Tamandua tetradactyla: one gene and its partners. The protein of the gene in region 1 interacts with the protein of each later gene in a biochemical or structural test. Links are inferred from orthologs where the notes say so. Each region holds a gene or a part of one and is shown on either strand. Other genes may lie near its edges.

Region 1 (7,778 bases):
AAAAATAGTGCCTACTTCATCGGCATGATGTGAGAATCAAATGAGATAATAAAAATAAAGAACTTAGCACAGACTTGGTGCTTAGTCGATGCACAATAAATCATGAAATTACTATTAGTGCATTATTAGAGGACTTTACAAAGTCCTTTAATCAATCCAGTCTCATATGGTCTTTTATTATAATCATGTGAGGTATGAAAGATAAATATTATTATAGCCCTTTCAAAGATGAGGAAATGATGGCTTTTAAGAATTTGTCCAAGGTGGAATAGCTGCTGGATGGCAAGTCTTGGATATGCTTTTCACAATAAAATGTTTAATATTTAATTAACCATAACACTACCACACTGACTCAAAATAGGTTTTAGATAGCAAAAAAACTGATCTTCTAATCAGAAGATTTTTTTCATACATGAACATGGTAAATACTGCTAGTTACTGATTTTGGAAATACTATTATTCCTTGAAAACATCTACAAGTTTCTTCTGATAGCAGCAGCAGGAACTATTTCTAAATGCTTCCTATGTGCCAAACATAGTGTTAAATACTTTATAAATATCATGCCTTTTGATCCTCACAATAACCTTCTGTGATAGGTATTATATTCTTTTTACAGATAGTAGTAATAGCTAATATTTATGACCACTTAGTCTGTGCCAGACATTGTGCCAAGTATTTTACATGCATTATGTCATTTTCATCAGTCCAACAATCTTCTGAGATAAAGTAGCCAGTTTGCTAATTGAGGTAATATATAGGCAAATTTGATGTTAGACTTATAGAGCAGGAAGCTTTTTATTATATATTATCCTGTGTAATTATATAATTTAAAGGACCTTCTGGGATTACCATTCCAGGGCCAGTTCCATTAAAAATAGTCATTGAAGTTCAGATTGGAGAGAAAGTAGGTATTGAGACAAAGTTATACTCAAGGTCTGTTTATATAGTATAACATTGTGAATGTAATTAGCTGCATTGAAATATATATTTAAATGTGGTTAAAGGGGGGACATTTTAGGCAGTATATATGTTACTAGAATAAAAATTTTAAAAAAGCTATAGTACTATACAACATAAACAATGGACACTAATGTAAACCATGAGCCATAGTGAATTAATACAGTGACAATTATATTAATATTCTTTTGCCGACTGTAACAAATGTATCACATTGTGAACCCTAATGTAAACTATGGACTTTGCTTAATAATATAAATGTAAAATATTGGTTCATCAATTATACCAAATGTATCCCACGAATGCAAAATATTAATAATAGGGAAAACTGTGGGGGTGGGGCTGTGGTATATGGCAACTCTGTATTTTCTGCATGATTTTTCTGTAAACCTACAATTTCTGTAATTAAAAAAAAAAAGTGTTTGTGCATTCCTTTGATACTTTTTCCAGATACCCTACCCGTAATTTTCAAATAAGATATGCTGTGAAAACTTTAAACTTGTGGGAGCACTGGACTCGCCAGGGCCCGAGTAAAAAGAAATTCAGTTTCTCCACTGCCCATTTGAAGAATAAACTATTCTTCATACCCAGTAACACATCATAACTTTTCCAAAGATAAAAATGGTGATAGGGTCAAAGAAGTCTGTTGTTTCAGGGCGTTTGTTGCTATTAATAAAACAGTCCCTCTGCAGGAAGCATACACAGACAACTCACAAAAACAGGAAATCCACTCAGGAACCTGCCTTACAACTCCCAGTCTGAACTCCTGAAATTGCCCTACAGCCACAAGGAATGGACATCACAAATTAGAAGTCAAGGAGAAGGCGGCAGATTCTCTAGACTTTAACTCAGATAATAATGCATTTATTTACAATCCTGTGAAGCCTAATCTAGACAGTTTAGAATAGAACTTTTTAGACCAACCTCCTCGTTTTACAGCTAAAGTAACTTGCCTGCTCAGAAGTCATTTCCCTGTTTGGAACAGCCCATCTCATGGAATTTTCTTTAGGGAATTCTCCCTGACTCCTGGTCTATGGGGTAAGTAAGGAGAGGGCTGAGCTCACCTTCAGCTCCAGGGGTGGCCATGTGGCCAGGTGTGGCCAGAATCACATTAAAACTGTCACTGAATTGAGTTAGTGCAGAGGTTAGAAAAGTAAATCCAGAGTGGGCCACCGTGGCTCACTGGCAGAGTTCTCATCTGCCATGCTGGAGACCCGGGTTCGATTCCCGGTGCCTGCACGCGCAAAAAAAAAAAAAAGTAAATGCAAAATCACAGTTATTGCCAAAGCTAGGACTAAATCCCAAGTTCCCTGCTTCTCAACGCAACGCTCTTTCATACCACCATGCCACATAAACTATATAAATTAAAGAAAAAAATTCCTTGCTAACTCAAAAAGTATTTGTAGGTCCCATTTCGGTGTTAATAAGCCAGACTGTCTCAGGATCTATGCTGCTCCTTGCTTTGTACATTAAGTACCTGGAATATATCCCCGTATTTCCTTCTATTTCCTCAGTATTCTCTGAGGCCATTTAGAAAAACTGTCATGGAGAACCGTTTGTCGCGGCCTGTGGTGCCGAGAACCGTTTGTGTCGAGATGAATCCCAGTGCTTCCAACTACCCCATGGCTTCGCCGTATGTGGGGGAGCTGCACCCCGACGTTACTGAGGCGACGCTGTACGAGAAGCTCAGTACGGTAGGGCCCATGCTGTCCATTCGGGTCTGCGGGGACGTGGTCACCCGCCGTTCCTCGGGCCACGCGTGTGAACTTCCAGCCGTCGGGGGATGCGGCGCGTGCGCTGGAGACCAGGAATTCCGATGTTATAAAGGGGAAGCCGGTTCGCCTCCTGTGGGCTCAGCGTGACCCATCTCTTCGTAAAAGTGGGGTGGGTAACACATTCATTAAACACTTGGACAGATGTATTGATAACAAAGCGCTGTACGATATGTTTTCTGCTTTTGGCAACATCCTTTCGTGTAAGGTGGTTTGTGATGGAAATGGCTCCAAGGGCTATGGCTTTGTGCGTTTTGAGACACAGGAAGCCGCAGAGAAAGCTTTTGGGAAAATGAATGGGATGCTTCTGAATGATCGCGAAGTGTCTGTTGGGCGATTTAAGTCTGTTAAAGAGCGCGAAGCCGAAGTTGGAACTAGGGCGAAAGAGTTCACCAACGTTTACACCAAGAATTTTGGTGAAGAAGTGAATAGTGAGCACCTTAGGCTTCTCTTTGCCAAGTTTGGGCGTGTCGTAAGTGTGAAGGTAATGACTGATGAAAGTGGAAAATCCGAACGTTTTGGGTTTGTGAGCTTTGAGAGGCATGAAGATGCACAGAGAGCTGTGGATGAGATGAATGGAAAGGAGGTCAGTGGAAGACACATTCATGTTGGGCGCCCTCAGAAAGAAGTAGAATGGCAGACAGAACTTAAGTGTAGATTTGAGCAGATGAAGCAGGACAGGATCACCAGATACCAGGTTGTTAACCTTTATGTGAAAAGTCTTGATGACCGTATTGATGATGAGCGTCTCGGGAAAGAGTTTTCTCCGTTTGGTGCGATCACTAGTGCACAGGCCATGATGGACTGTGGTCGCAGCAAAGGGTTTGGTTTGTGTGTTTCTCCACCCCAGAAGAGGCCACTAAAGCGGTTTCCGAAATGAATGGTGGACTTGTGGCCACCAAGCCGTTGTATGTAGCTTTAGCTCTGTGCGAAGAAGAGTGCCAGGCCCTCCTCACGGACCAGCACACGCAGAGAATGGCAGCCGTGAGAGGCGCGCCCACCCGATGCTCCATCCCCGCCAGCCAGCACCACCCTCACGTTTCTTCATGGAGCCCTCGCGTTTCTTCATGGCGCCCACCCCGCGCCCCGTCCCTGCCGGCACTGCCCTCGCGTTTTTTCATGGCGCCCTCGCGTTTCTTCATGGCGCCCACCCCGCTCCCCGTCCCCGCCAGCACCGCCCTCGCGTTTCTTCATGGCGCTCACCCCGCGCCCCGTCCCAGCCAGCACCGCCCTCGCGTTTCTTCATGGCGCTCACCCCGCGCCCCGTCCCAGCCAGCACCGCCCTCGAGTTTCTTCATGGCGCCCACCCCGCTCCCCGTCCCCGCCAGCACCGCCCTCGCGTTTCTTCATGGCGCTCACCCCGCGCCCCGTCCCAGCCAGCACCGCCCTCGCGTTTCTTCATGGCGCCCACCCCGCGCCCCGTCCCCGCCAGCACCGCCCTCGCGTTTCTTCATGGCGCCCACCCCGTGCCCCATCCCTGCCAGCCAGCACCACCTTCACGTTTCTTCATGGCGCCCACCCCGCGCCCCGTCCCCGCCAGCACCGCCCTGGCGTTTCTTCATGGCGCCCACCCCGCGCTCGGTCCCCGCCAGCACCGCCCTCGCGTTTCTTCATGGCGCCCACCCCGCGCCCCGTCCCCGCCAGCACCGCCCTCGCGTTTCTTCATGGCGCCCACCCCGTGCCCCATCCCTGCCAGCCAGCACCACCTTCACGTTTCTTCATGGCGCCCACCCCGCGCCCCGTCCCCGCCAGCACCGCCCTCGCGTTTCTTCATGGCGCCCTCGCGTTTCTTCATGGCGCCCACCCCGCGCCCCGTCCCTGCCGGCACTGCCCTCGCGTTTTTTCATGGCGCCCTCGCGTTTCTTCATGGCGCCCACCCCGCTCCCCGTCCCCGCCAGCACCGCCCTCGCGTTTCTTCATGGCGCCCTGGCGTTTCTTCATGGCGCCCTTGCGTTTCTTCATGGCGCCCACCCCGCTCCCCGTCCCCGCCAGCACCGCCCTCGCGTTTCTTCATGGCGCTCACCCCGCGCCCCGTCCCAGCCAGCACCGCCCTCGCGTTTCTTCATGGCGCCCACCCCGCGCCCCGTCCCCGCCAGCACCACCTTCGCGTTTCTTCATGGTGCCCACCCCGCGCCCCGTCCCCGCCAGCACCGCCCTCGCGTTTCTTCATGGCGCCCACCCCGTGCCCCATCCCTGCCAGCCAGCACCACCTTCACGTTTCTTCATGGCGCCCACCCCGCGCCCCGTCCCCGCCAGCACCGCCCTGGCGTTTCTTCATGGCGCCCACCCCGTGCCCCATCCCTGCCAGCCAGCACCACCTTCACGTTTCTTCATGGCGCCCACCCCGCGCCCCGTCCCCGCCAGCACCGCCCTCGCGTTTCTTCATGGCGCCCTCGCGTTTCTTCATGGCGCCCTCGCGTTTCTTCATGGCGCCCACCCCGCAGCCCGTCCCCGCCAGCACCGCCCTCGCGTTTCTTCATGGCGCCCACCCCGCGGCCCGTCCCCGCCAGCACCGCCCTCGCGTTTCTTCATGGCGCCCTTGCGTTTCTTTATGGCGCCCACCCCGCGGCCCGTCCCTGCCAGCACCGCCCTCGCGTTTCTTCATGGTGCCCTTGCGTTTCTTCATGGCGCCCACCCCGCGGCCCGTCCCTGCCAGCACCGCCCTCGCGTTTCTTCATGGCGCCCACCCCACAGCCTCAGAACCGCGCCGCATACTACCCGCCTAATGCAGTTGCCCAGATAAGACCAAATCCTTGCTGGGCTGCTGGGGTGCCGGGCCTCATCTATTCCCAAGTACTTCTGGCGCTGTGTGCCCAGCCATTCCTCCACCACCATTTAGCGCCACGCGACCAGTTCCTCCACAGATCCCAGGAGTCCTCGCAACCCTACGTGCCGCCACTGCGGCAGTGCCTCCGATGTACCCGTACCCTGTGGCGGGGCTGCTGCTGCTGCACCTCCTCCGGCCATTCGCACGGTTCCACGTTACCGATATGAGGCGGGAGTTCGCAACCCGGAACATCTTCAAGCAACGCCACGAGTTACTGTGCAGCAACCTGCTATTCATGCTCAAGGTCAGGAACCTCTGACTGCTTCCAGGTTGGCATCTGCTCCTCCTCAACAGCAAAAGCAGATGTTGGGTGAAAGGCTCTTTATCCTTAGGGAAGCCATGCGTCCTGCCCTTGCTGGTGAGATTACTGGCATGTTGTTGGAGATTGATAATTCAGAGCTTCTTCACATGCTTGAGTCTCCAGAGACTGTGCTCAGGTTGATGAGGCTATAGCTATACTACAAGCCTACCAAGCTAAAGAGTCCCCAGAAAGGAGGTGACAGTACCACTGGTGTTCCCACCGATTAAAATTGGTCAGGGACCACGAAAAGTAACTTGTGCTTTCTTGAAAAGTACTTAAATGTTGTTGAAAAGTTTTAAGTTAAATATTGTTGAAAAAAACCTTTGCAAAATATAAAATAGATTTTAAAAGGACAGGAAACTTTGAACCTTCTGTAGTGAGTAAATGCCAGGTCTAGCAAACATAGTGCTGATCCTATATTACTTACTGATTTATTTAAAAAAGCACACACAAAAAAGAAAATATAAAAACAGATTCATGTTTTATAGACCATAGAAAAAAATAAGTTTTAGAATAGTACAAAAATTTAAAGCATTTCTTTCTTTAGCTTGGTGTAGTTCTTTACTGTGGAATAGCTTGGAATCTGTTTTAGATAATAGAATTGATAGATAACTGAGCAAGGAAATGTAATTTAGTTTGGTTTATAAAATTCTTGCTTTAAAAAAATTCCTTAAAGAGGGAAAAAGTCATTAAGTGAACATATTTGCTGTAACTTTGTAAGAGCACTGTATAGTTAATTGATTGTTCTACCTTTTAATATATTTAAAACAAACCCATGTACTACCCCAGAAAAACCAACAACTTCTGTAAGCCTGCTTCTAAAGAATTTTGTGTTAAAGCTGCATTTATATTATCTAAAATGTTTAATTATTTTAAAAAGTTGTGTGTTCATAAAATAGATTGCAATTATAATAGGGTAAATTCTGGTTAAAAAAGATTTTAAGTATCATATAGAAGTTAAGAGAATAAGATAATAAATTAACTAGTAAAATGAGTTCTCTGTTTAGAAAGAAACCACCTCCAGGTTGAAGCCATGCTTTACACATGTGAAATAAAAAAGAAAAATAGTAAAGGTCTTTTGTAGCCCTGACTTTAATAAGTATTAATTAAGCAGTTGGAGGTTTTAATTAAAAGGCTATAATCTTACCTGCAACTACTTGAAGGGTCAAAATATACTGTTTTTTAGGAGAGGAGGTTGCTAGATAATTAGTAGATAAATTAAGTGGAAGGGTTCCTGGTAAAGGTTGTTGACAGGTCTCAGGTATACCAGGCAATGGGAGGAGTTTGTATTACAATATTAACATCTAAGTTGCTGTTAACTTGGTGGGAGTTCATCTATGGCCTTAAGACCCAAAGACTTTCAATATAGATAAAGTTTTTCTTAGAGCTTAAAGGAAATAGAATTTTTGGTAGTGATTGATAAGCCTTGAGTTTGTTGAAGTAAGAACTTTTAAAATTGCACTTTGGTTTTCTTGAACTCTTGTTATGTAGTGTATTTTGATTTATCTTTAATAAATTTTGTTATTGAAGCCTAAAAAAAATTTATCATATGTCACTAAGATACCTCTATATATTCAGTCAATAAATAATTGTACTATAATTTATAGCCATCAGAAAAAGCAGGCCAGGAAAGAAATGGGAAGGAGTAAGTACCCCATCAGGCTTATACAAAATAAATGCATTTATACTTTTCTAAAACTCCAATTATTTTTGGACCAATTATCTATGTTTCAAATCATTCAGTCCCTTTGCTACTATCTCACAAAACCCTCCTGTTGTTTGTGTTTTGGCCATTAATCTCCTTAATTCTGCTAGGAGAGGGAGCTGTGAGACTCAAACCAGACAGGATTCTGCCTGTTCCAGGGCTTATATTTGTGTGAAAGTGTGACCGGAGCAGGGCCAGTGTATCAGAGCTCCTAG
Region 2 (7,756 bases), on another chromosome or scaffold:
TTTTGTTTTTTTTAGTAAGCAATGGAGAGAGCCACAGGAAGTTTTGAAGAGGAAAATGATATTAGAGAGATTTTGTCTTTGTTTTGTTTTGCCCTTAGAAAAATTACTTCATCTTCAATGGAGAAGATGAATAGAAAGAGGGACAAACTAGAGTCAGGGACAGCTGTTGGAGGTTACTGCAGCATAGAAGCCCAGATGTCTCAGCCTGGACTAAGGCAGTAGGGATGGAGAAGGGACAGATTTAAGAGCTTTTGGGAGGTACAATTGACTTGACTTTGGTGCTTTTTAAGATGCGAGAAGAAAGACGGTGACAGTGAGGTGAAATAGTTAAGCAAGGATAACTTCCCATAGTCTTTGAGTGGACGATGATATCATTAACTGATATAAGAAATAAAGGGTGGGGGGGGGGAGATGTAAGAGGAAGGTAAGATACTTGGTTTTGGATTTATTTGCAGAATGTCCTGCTCATTGGTGTGCTGGTAAATGTTAACAACTGGCTTTCAAAAATAAGGACAGTCCCTGATTTGTAGTGCTTATGGGTTTCCTTGGCGATTTCAAGCTAGCCAGGTCTAGGTCACCTACTGCAGATTTAGGAAGAGATCTGTACAATCAGTTCTCCTGAACTGGTTGGGGCCAGCTCCGGCACACGGCTGGGTCCTGCTGGAGCCACCTCCACGTGTTAGGAAGAACAATTCTGGAGCTCCACAAGAATGGAGGGCTGGAAACACAGGTTTTAAATGGCTCCAAGAGAGCAGCTAATATTGTTGGGGACGGGGATGAGGGTGGAGTAATGGGGACAGCGTGTAGAAATGTGAAGAGAAACCAATATCAGGAAATACACAGTAAAAGAAGAGTCAAGAAAAGAGCATTAAAGAGGCAGGAGAATCAGATTCATGAAATATAAGAGAAGAACTAGTTTCAAGAAGGAAGGTGGGGCCAATTCCATCAAATACCAGAGATCACTTTTCTCTGTATTTTTCTACATTTAAAAGATATTTCACACGTGCAATAATTTGTACAACAGTTTATTCCTTAGTATGTCTTTAAGGACAAATGTTTTTTTTCTATATAGTTCCTTACCTTAATAAATATGTAACTTAAATTTAAACATACCTGTTTTATGTATTTGTAAACTACAAAGTAAAAAAAATTAAAAAAGATTTTTAATTTAAAAGATTAAACACATAAACATCTTTTTTTCCTTTCTTTCTATCCTTCCCTTTCTCTCATTCTTTCTTTCTCTCATTCTCTCTCTCTCTCTCTTTCTTGTGCATGCTTTCTCTGTTTCTTTCTTTTTTTATTTTAAAAGGACGTCATTAATGAATTTGGACAAAACAGACTGAGCGTGGTGGGGGCACGAATTTGATTGCAATGGACTGGGGAGTGAATGAGATGGAGTAAGCAGGGGTTAAATCTTTCAAGCAGTTTGTCTCCTAAAGAAGGAGAGCTTGAAAAGAAGTAGATTGGGAGGGTGGCTTTTAAAAAGAATTATAAGTCACTGACCCACTAGTAATTCAGGGGACTAGATCTGTCTATGACCCAGGCTAACTTGTTCATGCCAGTGACAAGCAGAACATCTTACCCAAATCTAAAAGTGGTAATTGCTTTCAATCTATTGCTTTCATGTCAGTAGGAGTCACCTTAGTACAGAAGGGGATTGCATAGGTCCAGTTAAACGGAATTGAATTGCAGGTATTGGGGGCTTTTGCTGTGCATGACCTATTCTACAAGTAATGGTGTGTGTTTTTATTTGAATATTGATTGATGAATTGCTTCTGTGCCTAACCATGCACTGGAATTAAGCTGACCCAAATATGAACTGTAGATCCTTTTATTCTTCTTTATATATGAAAGTTGAACTACCTTCTTTTATTAAAAATTTTTTTTTGAGATATCTCTCATTCTCCAGGAATTCTCCAAGATTCCAGATATTAGGTCTTCAAATTCAGCTTGAAAGGTTATTTTTAGAATACTTTCTTCTTTATTCTTCATCATTTTCCTGTAATACTCTATTGTTTTTCAGTTTCCAGGAACCAAACAGTGTACATAACAACCAGAAAACACAGGCATACTGCAAATTATTTATATTTTAAACAATGTGCATATGTACATTTACACAAACAAATTAACAGATGTCATTTATCAAAGCAACCTCCAAGCAAAGCCTTTTACGGAATCCCTAACTTAAACATCTCCATGAAGCTTCTCTGCAACTCCATGACCTCCAGTAGGGTCTTCAAGGCCACAGCTGCCCGAAGGTTGATTCTGTAATTAGAAGATGCCACGGTTGTCTCAGAATAGAATCTCAAGCCACCTAGGCTACAATTATGGAATCAACTTCTTTAGAGAAAAGGCAAGGAGGAAGGGCTTTCCTTCTCATTTGGGAAGGGTCACCTAAAGTGAGGCTTCAGTGATGGGTGTTGGTGTCAGTGGGAACTGACAGACTTGGAGGAAAACTCAGTTCAGTATGCTCAGGAGCAAATCAGCCGATGACCTTCCAGGATTGGAGGGGAGAGAACGCACACCTGAAAACCTCTTTCTCAAGTGGCACATTCTCCAAGGCTTTCATGTTTGGAATGTAGTACTCTTGTCATATGAAGCTGTTGCACTTGGAAAGTGTGGGTTTGGGGTCAGGAGACATCTGTCCGCATGTAACCTGGCCAAATTCCTTCCTTTCTTTGAAGGCTTGGTCTCTTCTGAGGCCATAGACTTAGGTATTTGGAATTAATAGCTGTCTCCTTTCTGTTCGGCTCACCTTCTTTCTCCCAGTATCCCATGGGATTTACTGTAACCCTTTCTCCATTACATATGAGGTCATAACAACAAACATATGACCTTATTAGGGTTCTCTTAGGAGCCAGAGCCTTCAAAATCCCAAAAGAATGATTTTGGTGGTAGGATTTTAAGCACTGTGATAGATGTGGGTGGGGGCAAAGGAGATAGGAGGTGGAAGTAGAAGTGGGGGTGGGTGCAGTACACAGAGACTTAATCATATCCTAAAGTCACCCTAAAATCATGATAGGAGCCTTCCTCTATATAGACGGTCAGGCAGATTCCTCTTAACTTTTGGCTAGCCCTGGAGTTTTAAGTTTGGTGTGGGAAAAACTTTAAAGACTATGGCTGGTACCTGAAATGACAGTAACAGTCAGCTAATAACACCTTCTGGGTTTACAGTGCCATTTTTTCAAGCAGCTCCAAGGTTTCCATAAAACTCATCTTCAGAACACTCTGTGGGGCAGAGTACGTGCACCTTCTCTCCATTTTCAAGATGAAGAAATGGAGGCAAAATTCATTACCTAAGCAGCTGGCCATATGGTTCAGACAAATTTAACCCCAGAGTCCAGTCTCTGGACCAGGGCTGGACCAGGGCAGGAGGGGCAGTTGTCCTGGGCCCTGGGGCTAGAAGAATACAAGGCTCTGGTCTTCCTCAAACTGCATCCCTTCTTCCTCCACACGGCCCTGAGGCCATGCCATCTGGAGTTCTGAGTATCTGGGACCCCAGAATTCCATGCCGTAAGGCCCCCCAATTATACCTCCATGCCCGCGAGGTCCTCTTCACTGGGCTGTCCTGAATGTGACAAAACCCCTGATGTATGTTCCTGCCCATCAACCTCTGGGGCTCCTGGAAGGGGGGTGTCTTGTCTACCTATGTGCAGAGAAGACGTTTCTGGGTAGGAAGAGAAGATATTTATTTTACAACTTGCTGACTTGATTTATGACTTGACTTGAGACATAAGGCATGTGGGGTCCCTTTGTATCCACTGACCTCTTGCTCCTGGAGTAACTATATAATTTTACAGGACTGATTCTCTAGCTGCACTCACCAAATCTAAACTAGCTGAAACCTAAGCCCCATGGATTTATCACAGGGACTTTACCAATACCAGGAAAATAAAAACGGGGCTGGCCCACGTTGTTCCCGGTTTCACACATCTCCTTTCCTTTCAGTTACCAATAGACAGTGCAAAGGGCTCTTTACTGGCTCTTGCCAGGGACCCGGGGAGCCAGGGCGAGGCTCTCAAAGACAGTGAACGGGTCGTCTATCGAATGCAGAATGCCGAAGTCAAGATTTGAGATGGAAAACCAAAGCAGCAGTCCCCAGGGCTGGCCAGGTCCTCAGGGCTGGCCACCTTCCTGCCCCAAACCCCGTCCGCTCCACCCCGGGCCTCGGGAAGGAAAGAAAGACCACAGTGTTGGCTTCCTGCTGGGTTTCAGCCTCTTGCCCTCTCTCCCACAATCCCTCCGACTGAGTAGTAAACTAACAAAGGGAAGAGAAAAAAAAATTGCGGGCAACGCAAGTTTAGAGGAAGCGATTTCCACCAGTGCTGTTGTCTGCCCAGAACGTGGACTGGAATCTCGGGCGCAGCTCCAGGCCCCGCTTTTCCCGCTTTTGCTCTGGGCTGGCAGACCGGGGCGGGGGCTGGGGACACGAACCCTGGTTCTGGAGCTGCCGGCACCCCTTTCCCAACCCCGGCCCTGTCCGGATCCGAAGGACCGCGCCTGTTTAAGGGGCGGACCGCGGCTCCACGTGCTTTGTGCTGAGTGACTGAACTACATAAACAGAGTCCGGGAAGGGGGCGGGGAGGAGGGAGAGAACAGGCTTTGACCGATAGTAACCCCTGCGCTCAGCTCTGCCGAATCTATAAAAGGAACTAGTCGCGGCAAAACCCCGGTAATTCCGAGGGAGAGTGAGTGGGGCCGCGACCTGCCGTACCGAGCCGATACATCTCAACCTCAGCGCGGGTGGCCGGGGCGGGGGGTGTCGCAGGACCCTCGCCGCTCGAGCCAATTTCGCAGGGCGGTTTGCTGCTTGTTTTTGTTCTTCTACACGTCCCCTCCCCCAGAAGGGTTTGCCAAAGGGTGGGGGAAAAAGTCGCAGACAGAAAAGTGGAAACCAGGTAAGAGCCTCTCCCGTGACTAGGGCGTAATTGTTTTGTTTTGTTTCCCCGGCCGAGGAGGCTTTGGGAAGTGCCGGGTTTCCGAGACTCGGGCCGGTATCCCTTGATCCCCCTATCCCTTGCAACGCAAATGGGGTGGGGGCTGGCGTAAACGGGAAGGGGACTTCCTACGATTAGAGATCCTTGAATGCGTCGCTGCTACGCTCGGGGCTCGCGGGTCCGCGGAGTAAGCCGAGCATCTTTGGGCGTGGAGAGCCGGAGCGCAATGCTTCGGGCGCAGGGAGTTAGGGGGCTCCTGCGCGTGCTGGGGCGCCGCTGCAGGGGTGGGGAGAGTGGCAGGTCCGGCACAAAACCTTCCCTTTGTTCCGGAGCTCCCGAGCGTGCTGGAAACCCCTCTGGCTGCGGGTCGACCCGCGCCCACCGGGACAAATGCCAGCTCTTAGTTCCTGGCCGCATCCTTGAGAAGCTGGTCTGAGTTGGACTCTGACTAGGGGATCGTCTCTGTGCGTCCCCAGACTGGAGTAGCATGTCCTTGTTCTCCAAGAACTCGAGCCGGAGGTGTCCTGAACGGGATATCTTGCGCAGTTGATGGCTTGAGGCTGCAGGGTCTTTGTTTTGGCCTCGGGGTCCTGCTTACAATTCCTGTGCGCGCACCCGAGCTGGTGTCCCTAGTGCAGCGGGGGGACGGGTTTTGTTCCTTTGAGAAAAAAAGAAGAAGAAGAAGAAGAAGAAGAAAAAAAGACATAAAGCGAAGGGGAGCCTGCGGAAACCCGGAGCTGGGGTGCCCGTTCCTCACGCCCCTCCAATCTTCTAGCCCTTTACTGCTCGTCTCTTGGGGCAGCCTCAGGCCCGGCACGAATGGGGAAGCTGGGGTAAGACTGTGCAGCAGAATGACCGAGAGTAACCCCTGCCGGCGGCGCGGAACTCGGCGGCGGGGGTGGTGGCGCGGGCGGCGGGCGGTCCCGGGGGACTGGCCCGCAGCGTCTCCTGGCCGGGCGGCCTGGGAATCGGCCTCGTGGCCGGAGTACGCCCGGCGGTTCCCACCAGGATCCTGTGAGGATGGAACTGGGAGAAAACCCAGGGGTTTCGGGTTAGAGCCGGTCTGATTGTTTTTCGTTCGCGTGTTTCCCGACTCTCAGAACGGTGCTAAATCAAAGAGTGTTCCTAGGGCGTCGGCTAGTGCCAGGGTTGTGTGTAGGGGTCTGTTTTACTCAACACTTATCAGAAAGATTGAAATAAAATAGATCTTGAAAGAAAGAAAAAAGGAAGGACGAACGGGAAAGAGCAAAGTGGTTCTGAAAGTAATGTGTCCTTTTTTGCAGCAGTGATACCGCAACTTTTAAAACCCAGTAAGACTTTCCAAGGACACCTCACAAAGTGAGTGGGTGAAACTTGCAATCATATAATAGAAGACAAATGTGATATTAAAAAAAACTTCTTTGGTGATGAAAAACAGAGTCACTACCTCTTTTGCCCATCCCCCCCACACCTCGCAAGGCACAACACAAAAATTTCTCCAAGGAATGGGTATTGGGTGGATATAGAGTGTAAATGAAATTAATGGAAAAAAAAAGTGTTCCTAAGTTCAGAAACAGGGATTTTACTGGTTCTTTTAACAATAATTTGGGACCCAAACCTAAGTTTTGATCTGCTTTTCAAACAAAACTTAAATGCCAACTAATAAAGGCACTTAATATCTCATTTCATTTATTCTTTTATTTCATCCTATGTTTCTTACACCTACTCCAAAAATGATGGAGGCTTTCGGTGGTTCATATGACTCTCTTGAGAAACTTCTCAATCAAAGTAAGGGTGAGCACATGTGTAGAACCTCTTTTGGTTGTGTGTGTCAGGGGTGGAGTGTAATAAATTTCAAGCATAAAGTTTCCGTTGTCAGTCTGTTTCCTAAGTTTTCCCATAAAACCATCTAAATAATTCATGATAGGGTTTTTGGGAAAATGTCGGCTATACAGAGCAAATTGGTATTTATTAGAGAACAAGCAGTAGAATCAGGACTAGGGAAAAGGGTCTCCAGCTTTCATCATGACCATGTCAGTTTAAGGGACCAGATGACGTATCTTGGTGTGACCAGGTCTGAGATCTGAGTGGCTCACCTGCAGATGAGCATTTGAAATCTCAGTCTTTATAAGTGTTTCAATTTACATCTAAGTGCAGGCTGGTAATGGACCCTCAACACATTTTGACTTAAAGCATATTTATAGTTTATGTGGGACAGCGCATTAGTCTAGAACTGGAAAAGGATTGCTGTGTTCAGTCTTTGCTCAAGGAAGTCCGAGTGCAAACTTTATTAAAAATGAATGAAAATGAATGAAACTCTGCTACTCAGCTTTTTTATTATCTTCGGTAGTACTTACCTTTTATGGAGAGGAGTTAAAATATCTCTCCACTTAATTTTCTTTTTTTTAGGAATCCTCCCAGGCTGTGCTACTTTCCTAGCGATAGCGAATCGTTAATATCTTTGCTGTTTCAATTTTTAGCTCTTAAAATAATTGAAGGGACATTGTCCTAGGTTCTTTTTAATTGTGAACCTTTTGGATATCTAGAAAATACCAATGGGTAGGTGTGTTTTGTCTTTCTAAAATACTCATAAATCCAGATGCATTTTAATTTACCTTCTAGATATTAAAGAAGTAAGGAAGTGTAATGCTTCTGATGGCCAATTACTCCAGCATCAATTCTTAAAAGAGCTTTCTGAACACTCATTTTATTTAACCATGATGGGAGAAGTCCTAAACTAAAAACTGAGATCATTTTCATCTCTGCCTATGGAAATAAACATAAATGCTGAAGTTACTGCCATTTTCAATTTAATAGATGCTTATATAGCACTGTGGGCC
Region 3 (7,847 bases), on another chromosome or scaffold:
CCACTCCACTTGCCATGCACACAGGCCACACAGCCGGCAGGCTCAAATGCCTTGGGTGCCCACCATGGCCCCCTGAGCTTCGGTTTCCCCACTGCTGGCTTCTGGTGTCTTTTGTCCTGGCAGCCCCATGTGGCACTACGTGGGACAGGGAGCAAGAAGACGGGCCCCCTGCCCTGAGGGAAGGAGACCCTGATGACATGGCATGATCTGTTTCCAGCGTCTTCCAGACGTCACCATGGGACAGTGTCCCTCTGCACCCTCTTGGGCGAAGGCCAGCCCCAGGTACATCCTCCCACCTGGAGAAGGGGGCCTTTCCCGCTGGAGGAAACCAGGACGGGGGGCAGCCCAGGGTGGCGCAGCAGCTGTAGCCTCCACCCCTGGCTTTCTGGCCTTGACCCCCAGCCCAGAGGGTCTGAGACCCCAGACCCTGACCCCACGGTCCAGCCCCAGGCACCCTCTACTGGGGTTGACCTGGGAAACAGATTTGCTGTTGCAGCTGCAGGGCCTACCCCCGGCCCCGTTCCCCCCTCCCCACTCCCCGTGTCCCCATCAGCCCGGCCAGTCCAGCTGGAGCCCTGGGAACCCACACTCACCCCAATCCCTGCCCGAGAAAACCATCTCCTCCCAAGAGCCAGAAACCCAAGGCAGGGAGGGGAGGGGAGGGCCAGCGGACAGGGTGGGGCCGTGGCCCAAGGTCACGAGGCACAGCCCCAAGCTGTGGGAACCTCTCCTCTGCAGTGTCCCAGCCTCCCACGTGGCCCATCTGAGGACCGTGGGCTGCAGCTGCTTCTGGCCAGATGGAGCATCCTGGCGCCTGATTGGCGGGCCCAGGGTCACTGGCCACCACTGACCCCATACGGCGCAGCCAGGCTGTTCTTCCTTCATACACACCGCCCAAGTTTGGGGGTGCATGCTTCACGCTTTGGAGTTCCGAGAGTCTAGGGGCACAGAGGGTATAGCCTTCCCCACTAGTTCTACCCTGGTTCAAGCCCCAGCCTCCTGTGGACCGCCTGGGTGGCTCCTCCAGTGGCCTCCCAGAGTGGAGGGGCTGGGGATAGAACACTGGGGGTCCCCTGGAGACTGGTGGACATGGATCAGCTCCAACACATACCGGGCTGAGCTGGGCAGCTGACGTGGACATAGTGTGCAGAGACCCACTCCCAGCCCATCAAGGCCCTCTAGGCCCAGGTGCCCCCACGAAGCTCTGAGCCCCCACATCCGGCTGCACTGAGGCTAGCCCCCAGCTGCCCCCAGTGCGTTTGGGCCAGGTGTGGCGTGGCTAGCCGGCAGCCTACCCTTCTGCCAGAGTCGGGGGCCGTCAGAGCCAGGGAAGGGCTCACATGCCCAAACAGGAAAAAGACCAGCTGCTTTGGGGGGTGGGGGCAATGCTGCTGCCTGCTGCCCAGGGAACAGAGCAGGGAAACTGTGGGCCGGCTGGGGAGCTGCTCGGAGTGCTCGGCAAGGAGCTGCATGGGCACAGCAGACTGCTGGGTGGTGAGGTGGGACAGCCACAGTGGGAGGCAGGACCCCATCCAGGGACCCTCCCCGTACCCTGGCTCCTGGGCCAGTGCCACCCAGACAACCCCTTGGCCTCATGTCTCGGTAACAGTCACTCCAAATGCCAGATGAGCAGGGCCGTGAGCCTGATCTGGGGGCAGTGGTCAGTAGAGGAAACTGAGGCTCCCAGGTCATCCTCTGAGCTACAGGCAGATCCCAGAGCCTGCCAGAGCCTTCCGCTGGGGCTGATCCACAGGTGCATCAAGGCCCACATGGCAGAAAGACTCCAGGACAGGCAAAAGCCTCAGTGTCTGACCACTGAGTTGCCTAGAACAGGCCCTATCCAGGCACCTGAAGCTCATGCAAGGAAAAGGTGCTATTCTGAGGGACAGTGCCCCACATATGCAATCCCACAAACACAAATGGAACTTCCAGTCCCCTGGGGATCCAACTTTCCTAGCTTCCCCTGAAGCATTAGCAGGTCTTGCAATAAGCCATTGCACGCTGGCTGGTGGTCCACTAGGACCCCGTGATCATTTTTCCACCTGGCCGTTTCCCCCCTTCCCAAGGCACACTGGGCTTTTACCTGCAGGACTAGCTTTTGCCAGGCCATCGGCAGGGGCTGCCCGCCGCCCACGCCTCCACTGCCCACACTGGGTGGCTGGGTACACTCCAGCTGCAGTGCCACATGGCGCCGCTCCTGCTCCAGCGCCTGCGTCAACCGCTCGAAGCGTGCCTCCTGCTCCTTCACCGAGGCCAGGATGCTGGCTGCAGAGTGCACATTGCCGTCCTCCATGACTAGGGTGCCCACCGGCTGTAGGCGAAGAAAGGGCGAGGTCAGAGGGAGCAGTGCCACCTACCTACCCCCACCCTGAGAACTGATGACTGCTCCAAGCATCTGAGCCTCCTGCTCTCTTGAGAGAAGCTGCACTAATTAAATTTTCAATTAAGAGCCATCAATCCAGGCTGACCGGAAGCACAGACTCACTCCCTGCAGGGCACCAGCCTTTGACCTCAGCTTCTACCCTTCCTGCCAGAACTGGTGGAACCACCCCAGGCATCTGGGAGCCTCCCCGGGAAGGGCCAAGAGAGGCCATAGGCCTGAGTGCTCACAGCCTCCTAAGCCCTCCTCTGCCCACAGCGCCTGCGCACTCACCCCAGTTTCACAGGCCACCCTAGCCTATCTCCCAGGGCCGGCTGCTGAGGCTCCCGCAGGTGCACAGTGGGTGCAGACAGAACAGGTGCGGCCAGGTAAGGTGAGAGCCTGGGACCCTGCAGCATGACCTCCTTTTGCAGCCAGGCAGGCTGGGAGTGGTGTGTCTGTTCCACATGACACAGCGAAAACCAACTACAAGCCGGGCTTCATGGGGCTTGGCATACCTGTGCTTGGCAGTGGCCCCCTTGCAGGGCCCCAAGTAGCGTGTCCTGGCCTTCAGGACGGGTCGGCAGGACAGCTGGAGGGCCGGGACACAGCAAGGTTCCAGTTTTCCCCATTCTAGCCCCGCCCTGCTCTGCAGCCCCTGGGGGTGTGGCGGGGGGCAGGGGGAGAGTGGGTGGCCGGTCCTGGCAGCTACAGCAACGCGCCAGCACTTTTCCTCACCCTCCCGCTCCCTGGCTGCCCGGCACAAGTATGCAGAGCTCAGCACTGAGAAGCGATTAGTGCTGTGGATGCCGGGGAGGCGGGGGGGGGGGGGGGGGGGCAGTGGCCAGGGTGGGGTGGGGTGGGGTGAGGCACATAGCTGGGTGCTGTCTGTGTGGTGCTGTGCCCAGTACTGCCTGGGGCCGTCTCCCAGCCCAGCCCCCAGCAGCACCCGTGCAGACTCCAGCCCCACTATGACAGCTGGGGAAACTGAGGCCCAGCGAGGGCAAGAGGCCGGCGTGGGCCCCAGACACAGCCCCATTTCCCAGCACCTGTCACACAACAATAACTGCCGTGGTGACCTTGCCGGAAGCAGCAGCTAAGTCAGGCACAGCCGCAAGAAGGAACCCAACTCCTACAGGGCGAAGAAGGGATGCCACAGCCTGGGCGGGGGCTGCAGAGCTCCAGATGGGGCCTCTGGGAGGCCCAGGGTGACAGGACACACGGAGCAGGCACCACACGAGGGTGGAGAGGAGGCCCTGTGCACATGCGGCAGGCAGGAGAGGTCAGGCCACCGGGGTCCACCCAGGCCCACCTGATATTCTTTACTGCATCAGACACCCCCCTTCCAAAGTGTAAGCATCCTGGGGGGCCAGGGAGACATGCATTCTCGTCCGGCCTGATGCTATCACCCTCCCTGTTCCCCAGTCCCCAGGAGAGCCAGGTGTGGCCACAGCCCCCAGCCTTCACCTAATCTCCCAGCCAAGCCCCCTGCTGTGCCCTGCTGGGGATCCCAGAGGCATATGCAGCAGGGGCCCTCGGTCTGCCGGGGCTTGGCCAGGGGCCTGGAATTGTGCAGCCACAGCAAGAAGGGTCCAGCTCAGGGGTAGGGTGCCATGGCAGCCACTTGCAGAACGGCCAGAGACCCCCATGTCCGCTGCCACAGCCTCAAGGTGGCCCCCCCGAGTCTACCCATGGGGTGGGGAGGCTGAGACCACTGGCAGCAGCTTTGGGAGCAAGCAGCCCCTGGGGGACACGGGGTGGGGGTGGCCAGGCCCACTCCCCCAGCACAGTGGCTTTTTCTCATGGCAACTCCAATGCTATTTTGGTATCAAAACAACAAATATGTGATGCGTGGCTGGCAAAACGAGTGTAAATTAAGATGGGTGCAAGACATCTGGGATGCCTTCCCAGCAGAGGCTGCCACTCAGTCACAAGGGTCCCCCCCCTGTAGGACAGACCCTTGCCCTTTGCTCTGGCCAGTGGTGTCAGGGCCCTCCCAGCATGGGACTGGCCAGGTTGAACCACGTTTGCTTTTGGTGGTTGATTCGGCTCATTAAGACAAGGCTTCCTGGTGCAGACCCTCCCTGTCCCCACACGCAGTGACAGCTGCCGAGATGGACGCGGTCACCATGCGAGAGCCCAGCATCCAACCACAGCACCCAGTCCTGTGGCCTTTCTGCGGATGGATGGAAGGGCTGAGGGCAAGGGCATGCCATTGAGCTGCCCCTCCTCCTTCCCACTGGCTGGAATGCAGGTAAAATGGCTGGAGTTCAGGCAGCCATGCTGGATCATGAGAAGACCTCGAAAGCAAAGCCCTGTGCTATGGAGCAGAAAGATAGGAGGGTGGGCTCAGCCTGACACAGAGGAGCACCAGCGTTGGGCCTCTTGGGGTTAGAGACAAGTAAACTTCTCTTTTGTTTACCTGGGATTTTCTGTTGCTTACAGACCCAGTGAACCCCAAACCAGTATGCTTGGGAGTGTAGTGTGAAAGTTCCCCACTGAATGAGGAGAAATTTGAGGCCTGATGAGGTTTAGGAGTGGGTGATGGGCAGCCCAGGAATGACCCTACCCCAGGGCCATGTCATCAGGCCAGTGTCCAAGCCAGAAAACATGAATGGGAAGCTGAAGTGGGGGTGGGGGAGGCAGGGCTGGGAGTGACAGGGCTGGGGTTAAGCCCTGAAAAAAACAGAACCCCAAAATACAAATGATAACCCAGTTGCAGAAACAAGCCAGATTCTGCTCCCACTGGGCATCCAGCCCTGGGCCAAGAGCCTCCTGCCCACCCACTCTGAGCCCTTTTGGGCAAGGGAGCAGGAGAAGAGCACAGGAGGTGAGTAGGCTGCCTGAGGCCTGCGGCCTGACAGGAGGATGGGGCGGGGGTGAGGGTGGGAGGGCAGATGGCCAGATAAGCAGGTGGCAGACAAGTGGGTGGATGGTTGGACAAGAGGAGGGTGGATGAATGAGTGGTGGGATAGAATGGGAGAACAGACATGTAGATGATGGGTGGATGATTGGCAGATGGACAGAGAAGTGGAAGGCTAGAAGGCAAGATTGCATGAGTGAATGGATGTGTGGGTGGGTGGATAGGTGGGTGGATAGGTGAATGGGTGGGTAGGTGGGTAAATGGTGGGTGGGTGGGTGGATGGGTGGATGGGTGATGGATGGATGGGTGACAGTGGATAGATGGATGGGTACATGGATCAGTGAGTGGGTGGGCAGATGGATGAGGGGTATAGATGGATGGTTGGGGGAATGTGGATGGATGGGAGGCTATATAGGTTGATAAGGGCATGACTGGATGGGTAGGTGGGTGGATGGACAGGGTAAGTGGGAAAGTAGGTGGATGGGTGGGTGAATGGATGGATGGCTGGGTATGTGCATGAATGGATGGGTGGGGATATGGATGCATGATTTGGGGGATGTGGATGGATGGGAAGGTGTATACATTGATGAGGGCATGGTTGGACGGGTGGGTGGATGGGCAAGGTAGGTGGGTGGATGGGTAGGTGAATGGATGGATGGATGGGTGGGGGAATGAATGGGTGGGGGAATGTGGATGGATGGGAGGGCGTGTGGGTGGGTGGAGGCATGGTTGGATGGTTGGGTGGATGGACAGGGTAAGTGGGTAAGTAGATGGATGGGGATGGTGGATGGATGGGTGAGTGGATGGATGGGTGGATGGGTGAATGGATAGGTTGGTGTATGGATGGATGGTTGTGGGAATACGGATGTTTGGGGATGGTGGATGGATGGGTGGGTGAATGGATGGGTGGATGGATGGTTGTGGAAATATGGATGTTTGGGGATGGTGGATGGATGGGTGGGTGAATGGATGGGTGGATGGATGGTTGGGGGAATGTGGATGGGTGGGCAGGTGGACAGATAGGTGGAGGGATGGATGGATGGTTGGGAGTATAGATGGATGGGTTGGGAAAAAGTGGATAGATGAGAGGGTGCATGCATTGACAGAGGCATGGATGGATGGGTGGGTGGGTGGACAGGGTAGTAGGTGGGTGAGAGGCTGGCTGGCTGGGGGAACAGATGAGTGAGTGAAAGGCAGGTTGGAGAAAGAATGAGGGGCTGGGAGGGAGGGGGCTGGCTGGTGGACGGGTGAATGGATGTGGGGAAGGCAGGGGGGCAAGGCCAGGGTCTGAGGCACTGCCCTGGGGGGAGGCAGGCCGGGCCCCCAGCCCTTGGGGTACACCCACGGCTCCCACCTCCACCAGGAAAAGCGAGAACACGGACAGAGCAACTTGTGGGTAGGGGGAGACCAATCCTTCCCCTGAAACCGAAACCGACTTTTGACATCTTCTTGCCGACCGAGACATTCCTCCCCGGGAGGAGACCACGCCAAACCCCACTCTGGAAAATCAAATTATGGGGCCTGAGTCCAAACTCGGTTCAGGAATTAGAGGCATTTCCTTAGGGTCAGGCTGGCGGTGGGGGAGGCAGGCGGGAGGCGACCGCAGGCCGGACCCCTCTCTCCAGCGACGGGCAGACCCCGAGAAGGGCAGGGGACCCCGTGGCCAGCTGGTGCCTCCCCCACTCCACCAATGCCCTTTGCCCCTGCACCCCAACTCAATGGGGAGCAAATGGTGCCAGCAGGACTTGGAAGTGCCAGGCCCCCCCCCCCAACTCCGTGGGAGATGCCTGTGCAAACCCGCTTCCCCCGCCTGCCTGCTGGCTTCTCCAGCGCCCCCACTTTCACCCTGTCACCCCTTCTGCAGCCAGATTGAGGCCAGAGCTTTAACAAGAGCACCTGGGCAAGTCACGGCCAGGGCCGGGCCAGGCCGGGGGTGAGGGGAAGAGGCCTGGAGAGCCGGGGTGGGGGGGGGGGTGCAGTGTCTCAGTTCTCAGGGAGCAGAGGTACCAGGGGTCACTCCCTGCCACTGCTCAGCGCAGGAGAGGGCCAAGGAAAGGGCGCCCGCTCTGGCTTTGGAAGAGTTGGGAATTTCTGGACGGCCCCGGACATATGGAGGGCACACGCAGTGTGTGGTTTCCGCGTCAAAACTGGCGGGAAAAAGCCATAAAGAAAATGCACAGCCATCTGGCAAACTGGGATCCAAATATTCGTAACGTCCAGCAGAAGTGATCCCCTGAAAGGAAGCGGCGACCTCGTCGAGCAATAAGGAGGTCCCAGGACCCCAAACCCAAGCAGGGAAAGGTCACAAACTAGCGACGTGGTGCCTGGAAATGGTCATGCGCCCTCACACACAAAAGGGAAGAGTGGAAGGAAACACCGCTGGGGACGGAGGGCTTTCCTGCTGGGGTGGGGAGAGCTCAGGGAGGTGGGGGGGGCCGTGGGTCTGACCAAGGTGGGTGTGTGGAGGGTGCCGCTGGGGGGACATGAGGGCTGGGTGGGGCCAGTGGGGTCCCAGCAGTGCAGGGGTATCTCCTGCATCCCCCAATTCCATCTACCAAGGACCATGACTCGGGGGGGGGGGGGTTCAGAGGAGGCGACTCCCAAGATTCCACTGGGGAGGTGAGG
Region 4 (7,895 bases), on another chromosome or scaffold:
CCCCAGACACTGAGACTGGTGAGCATTGCAGCCCTGCAGGGCCAGGTCACAGGGACCTGCCTGTACCCTGCCATCTGCTGCCCTCCCGAGCCCTCCTGGGCCCAGCCCTGGCTTGTGGCTGAGAGCCCTGGGGGAGCGGGCCAGGCAGACGGGGCCTCCCTGCTGCCCCCTCCCTGCCCACCAGAAAGGTCAGCAGCTCCAATTTCGGGCCAGGCTCTTGGCACCAGGGCCCTGAGCACGGGGCCTGCCTGTTAACACATGTGCTAGGCCAAGGCCCACACCATGGGTGCTGGGGAGTGCCTGGGTGCCAGCAGCCCTGGGAAGCCTGGCCAAGCTTTAGGGAGGCACTGGCAGAATGGATGGTGAGGGTGCATCAGGACTGCAGGGAGAGGGGGCTGGCAGCAGTCCCTGCCTTGAGCCAGGGTCCCTATCCAATCCAGCACCCCAAGTGATGCCAGGGGATTCCCCAACACCCCTCCAGCCCTGCCCAGCCCCTGGCTGGCCACGCACAAGTCTGTGAAGTCATCCAGGGTCTCATCAGGAGTAAACACATCCAGCAGGCCGATTACCTGGGGGAAGAGGGGTGGGCAGGGGGACTGAGGTGTGTGGACAGCAGGGGCTGTGGCGTGGTGCTCCCCAACCCAATCCCTTCCCCACCTCTACCCCGCTGGCACTGGCTCCAGGCCGGACCCCCCGCACTGTCCCTGTCTCCCCACACTGCCCACTCACCAAGCAGCCCCGGCCGGGACACACGTGCCCACAGCCTCGGGCTATTTCTGGATGGTGACAGCCGGGATGTGCGGGGGTGGGGGTGGGGGTGGGAAAGTCAAGTCTGGCTGGCTCCAGGCCAAGCACAACAGGGTCAGCCCTTGGTCCTGCCTCCCCTTCTTGCTCTGCCCATGGACACTGGGACCCAGGGTGGGGCAGCCCTCAGGTTGTGAGCACTGCAGTCCTTCCCCAGGCTGAGACCCACAGCCCGCCGGCCCCACGGGGCCCCTGGTTGGGGAGGCGATGGAAGACAGGTAACCTGGGGCCAGGGCGGCCTGCTCGTGAGGATGGTGCCTACCAAGGTTGCAGGGCAGGTGGGGTGCAGAGGCCCAGCGGGCCCTGGGGAGCCTGCCATGTGCTAGAGTAACACAGGGGAGGCAGGTGGCTGGGTCAGGAGCAGGGAGGACCTCCAGTCCAGGTAACCCTAAAAGTGGCCCTGGAAAGCCCTTAAGCAGGGGCGGGACCCTCACCACCTCCTCAGGCCACTGTGCAGGATAGACCACATGAGGCAGGTGTAGACAGTGACCCCGCAGCCGCCAGGTCCAGTGTGGGGGGGGGAGGGTGGAATGCTAGGTCTCTGGTGTGCTGGGGGCTGTCAGAAAGGGACCACCTCCAGTGCAGGAGTCCCAGAGGGGACTTTGAGACCGCTGGAGGCTGCAGACCTAGATGTGCAGCCATCGAGGGTTCCAGCTGAGGAGGGCCTGGGGGGAGGGGAGCCCAGAGCCCACAAAGGCCCCCTTGGTCCACACAGAGCAAGCAGCAGGGAGGGAGGGGGTTGTAGGCGAGTAGAACAGAGCAGGTGGGCTGCGCGGCTATGGGAAGGATGCCCTAGGGAGAGGGCCAGGTGCCCAAAGGGCTGGTGGGATTGCTGGCTCAGTGGATGGCATGTCCACTGTGCCGGCCTGGGAGGGGCCGAACGGAGAGTCCGAGTCGGGTCGGGAAGGGTGCTGGTGAAGCTGGCCAGGACAGGAGTTAGGGTGCCTCCTCCTCACCCAGCCCAGGGTTTCACGGACGGGGGGGGGGGGGGGGGGGAGGCAGCCCCCATGAAGATCACGTCCCAGATGTGGCTCAGGGCAGAGGCTGAGTGCCCCAGGGCACAGGGTGGAGACAGAAGTCCCAGAGAACAAGTATTTGGCTGGAGAGCGGGCAGTGGCCAGAACCAAGGGCCCAGGTGCACTGATGTACATAGCGACCAGCCAAAGCTCACAGTGCTCAGCTCTCAGCCCGGAACTTAAGGCAGGGGTGTGGGGGGGTTTCCCTGGGGAGTCCGGACCTGTCCACCCCCCACCCTGTCCATGAAACCCTGGACTGGGTGAGGAGGAGGCACCCCAACCCCTGCCCTGGCCAGCATCCTGGGCGCCCCTCCTGAGTGGGACCCCAGGCTCTGCAGGGGGCTGGGACAGGTGCAGTCCCACTTGGAGAAGGAGGAACTATGAGGCAGGCGGAACAGAGGGGCCTGGGGAGGCTGAAGGGAAGTCTGGGGGGCCCTTCCAGGAAAAGTGCTGTGCCCAACTCCTCTCACCACGGTTCCCGGAATGGAGGCAGGATTTGGGGGCAAACCTGGAAGGCCAACTGAGCCCAGACCCGTCACAGCGGCGGTGGCAGGGGGCTGCCGCGAAAGGGAATCCATGCAGGCTCTACCCCAAACAAGGAGGCCTAGGCGTGGGGGAAAACGGTGTACGCCAGAAAGGTCCCTAGTCTGCCAATGTCTCCTGGGCCCCCACCTACACCCACCCCACAGGAAGGCCGGGGGGAGGGCCGGCCTTCCCGCAGGCGGCACTCCGGGGGGCGGGGCGAGCTGGGCGGGGCCGGGTGCGACCCCCCCGACTCACGTTCTCGTGGCGCATGTGCTTGAGGAGGCGCAGCTCGCGGTAGGCGCGCTTGGCGAACAGCTCCGACTGGAAGGGCCGGTACAGCTTCTTGATGGCCACCCTGGCGCCGGTGCGGCTGTCCACGGCCGAGCTGCGGGGTGGGCGGCTCAGCCTCGGCCGGGCCTCTCGCCCCCGCCCCGCCCCGCGCCGCGCCCGCGCTCACCACACCGCGCCATAGGCGCCGGAGCCCACGGGCTGCAGGTCGCGGTACTCGGCGCGCACCTCCCACTCGGTCTTGGTCACCTCCTGGCGGTAAAAGCCCTTGCGGGTGGGCGGCGGGGAGGTCATCGCTGCCCGGACGCCGGGCGCCGCGCTCCCGGAACCGGGGCCCGGCGGCCCTCTGCTGTCCCCTTTGGGGTCGCCGCCCTCCGGGCTCCCGCACCGCCGACTCCGGCCCGACCCCTGCCCGGCTCCTGCCGCGCTGCCCCACCCCGGCCCGCGACCAACCCGCCCCGGGGCCCGGCGCACGTGACGGCCCGCCCTGCGGAAACCCGAGGCGATGGGGGATGGCCCAGCCCCGGCCCCGCGAGGAGGCGGCGCGGCGGGACACTCGGAAAGCCGCTGGCTCCGCACTGGGCTGGCGCCCCGGATGCCCGGGTCCCCAGGGGCCGCAGCGCTCTGGTCTCCTCTTTACTGCCCACACCCAGTGCGCCGCCGGGCCTATGCTGCCCAACTTCTGTCCCCAACTCCTGGTCACTGTCCTGAGCCTCCCAGACCCAGCCCCCTACCCCCACCCTGAATCTCCTGGCAGGGGGTCTCCACCGCACCCCCTAGGATGCCCTACCCCCAGGCGGGTCCACCCATCTGCGATTAGGTCTTGCCTGCAGCCCCCCTAACATATGCGGGATTGGTTCTGTCTCCCAGACTTCTCAGGTGGCCACCCCAGTGTCCATCCTTCAACCCCTGTCCCCAAGCCTCCCATCCCCCCTCGGCCCTTCTGCACCCTGGCTCCCACTCCTCCCTCCACCTCTTCCCCCATCCCAAGGCCACTGTTAGTCCCTTTGCCTGCTCCCCCCACACACACCTGCCCCCTGCTTGTCCTATCTGTCCAACCTGGCTTCTCTCCCTCCCTGAAGGCTTGCCCAAGCCCCAGGGGTGGGGGGCCTCTCAGGCCCTGACCTCTCAGTGTAGGCATAGTCCTGTCATGGGTCTGGGTGCTCCTGAGGATGGAGCCTGGGGGTCCCCTCAAAGCTGATTGGTGGTGGGTGGCAGGATCCCAAGTGCCCCCTTCCCTGCCTTTTGGGGCCCCGCCTGCCAACCGTGAATCAGCAGCTCAGCAGCCTTGGGCATGGCCAGACCAGCTTTACACCTGGCCTTGGGGTCGGTGACCCTGGCACATGCACAGCCAGCTGATGGCAAGAGCAGCCCACAGCCAGCCCAGCCAGGAGCATGGCACATGCCACCCACAAAGCCACCTGCACCCCATGCCCTGGGCTGAGTGGGGTACTCTGCCTCCAGGAAGCCCCCCTGGCTTACTCCCTGGGGTGGAGCCCAGGGTTCCAGCACTCATAGGGGCCCTTGCTCCTTCAGACCAGGGCCCCTTCCCCCGCCCCACCCCTACTGGCCTTGGCCAGCCATGTCTCTAGAGCTTCCCAGGTACCTAAAGCCCTGCAGCCTTGGTGCCTAGGCCTATAGGATCCTGCCTACAGCCCCCCAGGTGGGAGCTGCAAAAAGCAGTGGGAGTAGGCTCAGGTGAGAGTGGCCTGCAGAGTTCAAGGTTGAAAGCAGCCTTCTTTTCTCTACACCACCCCCACCCCCCGGAGTCTGCATTAGCCAGAAGGGAAAGGCCTGGCCCCCAGGAGAGGAAGCATTTGCCTCTAGCGGTGCCCCAGCTGTTCTCTCACCAGGCTGCATGACTGCCTGGTATCCTGTGGGCCAGGCCAGGGTGGGTGCAGCCCATGGTGAGCCCCCCAGAGGTGGAGACAGCAAAGGCAGGGGGCCTAGCATGTCGGACACTGGTGGGGCATGAGGGAAGCCCTTTATTGAGCGCCCCTGTGTACAGGCACTTCACATCCAGTCCCCCCTAGGTACCCCCAGGGTAGGAGGTTACCACCCAGTCTCCAGGCAGGGGCCTACCCACAGAGGATGCTCGGTCAGTTCTATTGTGGGAGGAGGGGGACAAGGCGACCCCAGAACCCCAGCTGAAGGGCCATGAGGGTAGGGGAGGTAGAGGGCCGGCAAGGCTTCTTCATCAGCTCTGTCCAAAGTCCATGGGCCGGGGCATTCATGTGAAGGTCACGTCCATGTGTGCACCTGTGTGCTCTGCCCAACCTGGTGGCTTGAGATTGCAGCACAGATACGGGCCCTCCCTTGCCTCAGCTCCTTGGCTGCAATGCTCCCTTGCTCAGCAATCTGCTGTGGTTCTATGCACCCACAAAGGAAAGCCCTGGCATCTGCTCAAGTGGGTGCCCTCGGCCCAAGGAGCCCTTCATGGGTACCCAGCATGTGGGGAGGTGCAGAGCAACCCAACTCTGGCCTCTTCCTGGTCATGGGCTCCTAGCACCCACAGATTCACATGTGCCCAGACAGCACAGGTGAACACACGGGCCCCAGCTTTTCTGACGTGAAGCCTGTAGTGTCCCAGCCTGGCCAGCCACCAGGGAAACCCTGCCCAGCCTGGGGGGCACAGGTGGTCTCAGCACTCCCGGGGCAGACCCCCTTTGGCCTGAGCAGCTCTGATCCCTGGAACCATCCCTTTGAGTCCAGGGGGTCCTGGCGAACTCCCACTGTACACAGAGAACAGGGCACAGACAGACACCAGCCTGGGGGGCAGCCCCATGGTATGCAAATCCCCCATTGTGAAATCCAGAGGGAGACCCAGATGGCTGGGGGCGGGGGTGAAGGACACGGGCACATACTTGTTGCCGACACATGTGTGTGCAGGACCCCCTGGGCACGGTGAGCAGGCAAGTAGGCCCCAGGCCAGGTATGTGGGCTGCTGGGCCAGGGCTGCAGGGTGGCACCCGTCACAGAGTCCCAGGATGAGCAGGGTGCAGGCTTAGGCCCCTCTAGCAGTGTGGAGGTGGCAGGTGGGCTCCCCTTACTGCTCAATCTCCAGGCTCTTGGGTGGCTGTGGGGGGTCTGGGGGTTTGAAGCTGAGGACTTCCTGGTAGGTGAGCTCTGGGGGGCAATGGGGAAAGGATCAGCACAGACGGCCCAGTCTAGGCCCAGTGCGGTGCCTGCTCCCCTCGCTGCCCAGCTCTGCCTGTCCCAGCCTCCACCCCTGCGCACCCTTCCACTCTTCCACTGAGCGCTCAGCAGCCTCCGCGCTCTCATCGTAGGGTTCGGCCTCAGGCTCATCCTCGGGGTCGTGGTACTGGCTGAAGTAGGCATGGGCCAGGGCCTCGGCCGCGCTGAGCCGCTGCTCACTGTCCAGCACCAGCATCCTTCCCAGGAGGTCCACAGCTGTGGGCCGCGGGAGGGTCAGCCCCGCCTCCGGCCAGTGGAGGGCCCCACCCAGTCCCGGTCCATCCTCACCCAGGGGGTTGGCTCCGTGGAAGAGGCTCCCGAGGTCCTTCTGGGGCATGGAGGGCAGGGACTGGATGTATGTCCGGGCCTGGGGGCACATGGGGGAGGGCCTGAGGGGACCACACACCCTCTACCGCAGGCCCCGGACAGAGCAGGGACTCCAGAGAAGACCCCAGACCCAGGCACTACCCAGCCCTGGCTGGCACAGGGGCAGCCAGAGACCTGCCCCTTAACCCCTCTGACCGTAGCCCCTCACCTAACCCTCCTGTCCCCTCCTCCACCCCACTGCCCCTGGCCAAACCACTGCTACCAGTGTCAGGACTGTGCCCTCGCTGTGTCCCCTGCCCTGCCGTATCCCTTAAAGGGGCAGGGCACCTGCCTTGGCTCCTCTGGCAGTGCCCTGCACTCCCCATACAGAGCCTGCTTCCCATGGTGTCCCCCAGAGTGCCCGGGGCCTTAGTCCGCAGAGGGCGGGGGGGGAGGGGGCACCCACTCACGTGTTCCGAGGATATCTTGGCCAGAACCTCGGGGCTGGGGGTCCCCACCACCTCCATGATGCGTTTTAGCTGGTCGATGTCTGCCTCGGCTCAGGAAACACCCACTGGCCAGCAGGGGCCTGCCCAAGCCCCCCAGGGCAGAAGCCATGGGTGCTGCCCAGAGCCTGCTCCTCTCCCCGGCCAATGAGCCAGGGGGAACAGCCAGACAGGGAGGGCCTGAGACTGCCTGTCGCCCTGCCCACCCACAACTGGGAGGTCCTGGCTCCAACACCCCCCAACCCCTGCGGGGCCAAGGATACAGTCGTTTCCTGGAAAGAGGGCCTTTCCCTGCAGCAGCTCGGCCATGATGCAGCCCACCGACCAGATGTCGACTGTGGGGGTCAGGGCACAGGCTGCCATCAGTCTTGGCCCCCCTCCTCCCGGGGCGGCAGCCCGGTGACCCTCACCCACAATGGGGCTCAACCTGGTGTGGGAAGGCCCACTGGAGCCTCCCCCCTCAACGCAGAGGGCCCCCTGTAGGTCTGTTTGTGCATGCTGACCCCAGCCCTGCCTCACCCCATCACCGGGAAGGACCCCCTGGGGTGCATGGCCACCCTCCCCAGGCCATGGCCCCCACAGGACATGGATGCCCCACGCAGGCCCCACGGCCACCTGTCTGGTTGTAGTGCATCCAGTTGAGCATGATTTCTGGGGCCCGGTACCAGCGCGTGGCCACATAGCCAGTCATCTCCTCATCCGCCTGGCGGGCGAGCCCGAAGTCCAGGATCTGGGCAGGCCACAGGGACGGTTCAGCACCTGCCCTCCTCACCCGCCCCGCCCGCACACACGCCCCTCACCCTGAGCTCGCAGTCCTCGTTCACCGCCACGTTGCTGGGCTTCAGGTCCTGCATGGAGGTACGGCTATGAGGCAAGCCGAGCACGGGGTCCACGCCGACCGGACCAGGGCCCAGAGCTGCACCCCACACCTACCCGATGGATGATGCCGGCCGAGTGGATGTACTGCGGGGAGGGGGGAAATCACGACTGCGTCGACCTCCCCGGGCGGACCGCGGCCCAACCCCGTCCCATACACCCCCGCTCCGCAGGGGCCCCGCGCCCCAGGGCCGCACACCAGCACCCCGGCGGCACCTTAAGCCCGCGCAGCAGCTGGTACACGAGGAACTGCACGTGCTCGTCACTCAGTGCCTGACACTTGACGATGTTGTTCAGGTCGGCGCCCATCAGGGTGGTCACCAGGTACCTGGCGGGGGATCAGGGGTTGGGGGTCAGGGGAGAGCCCCGCCCCGACGCC

Evidence for each region.
Region 2: the proteins of ERBIN (region 1) and ABCA1 interact in a test that uses a peptide from one of them, tested with the Homo sapiens proteins (2 studies listed by BioGRID and IntAct). The link is inferred for Tamandua tetradactyla from reciprocal best matches to the Homo sapiens genes ERBIN and ABCA1.
Region 3: the proteins of ERBIN (region 1) and ARVCF interact in a test that uses a peptide from one of them, tested with the Homo sapiens proteins (3 studies listed by BioGRID and IntAct, with this or other methods). The link is inferred for Tamandua tetradactyla from reciprocal best matches to the Homo sapiens genes ERBIN and ARVCF.
Region 4: the proteins of ERBIN (region 1) and MAPK12 interact in a test that uses a peptide from one of them, tested with the Homo sapiens proteins (2 studies listed by BioGRID and IntAct). The link is inferred for Tamandua tetradactyla from reciprocal best matches to the Homo sapiens genes ERBIN and MAPK12.

The regions. Positions count from the first base shown.
Region 1 is NC_135335.1:113,753,578-113,761,355, reverse strand, and holds the start of ERBIN (erbin), read right to left. Parts: upstream 3,153-7,778; 5' UTR 2,436-3,152; intron 1-2,435. UniProt on the Homo sapiens protein: Acts as an adapter for the receptor ERBB2, in epithelia. By binding the unphosphorylated 'Tyr-1248' of receptor ERBB2, it may contribute to stabilize this unphosphorylated state.
Region 2 is NC_135328.1:23,873,630-23,881,385, reverse strand, and holds the start of ABCA1 (phospholipid-transporting ATPase ABCA1), read left to right. Parts: upstream 1-4,590; 5' UTR 4,591-4,672; exon of another isoform or gene 4,673-5,109; intron 5,110-7,756. UniProt on the Homo sapiens protein: Catalyzes the translocation of specific phospholipids from the cytoplasmic to the extracellular/lumenal leaflet of membrane coupled to the hydrolysis of ATP.
Region 3 is NC_135331.1:28,345,611-28,353,457, forward strand, and holds the start of ARVCF (splicing regulator ARVCF), read right to left. Parts: upstream 3,072-7,847; 5' UTR 2,992-3,071; coding exon 2,878-2,991; intron 2,312-2,877; coding exon 2,084-2,311; intron 1-2,083. UniProt on the Homo sapiens protein: Contributes to the regulation of alternative splicing of pre-mRNAs.
Region 4 is NC_135333.1:45,615,157-45,623,051, forward strand, and holds the start of MAPK12 (mitogen-activated protein kinase 12), read right to left. Parts: upstream 3,077-7,895; 5' UTR 2,928-3,076; coding exon 2,803-2,927; intron 2,731-2,802; coding exon 2,601-2,730; intron 570-2,600; coding exon 511-569; intron 1-510. Other genes in the region: MAPK11 (mitogen-activated protein kinase 11), read right to left, coding at 5,151-5,759, 5,871-6,044, 6,605-6,684, 6,904-6,975, 7,256-7,370, 7,441-7,488, 7,574-7,603, 7,733-7,844. UniProt on the Homo sapiens protein: Serine/threonine kinase which acts as an essential component of the MAP kinase signal transduction pathway.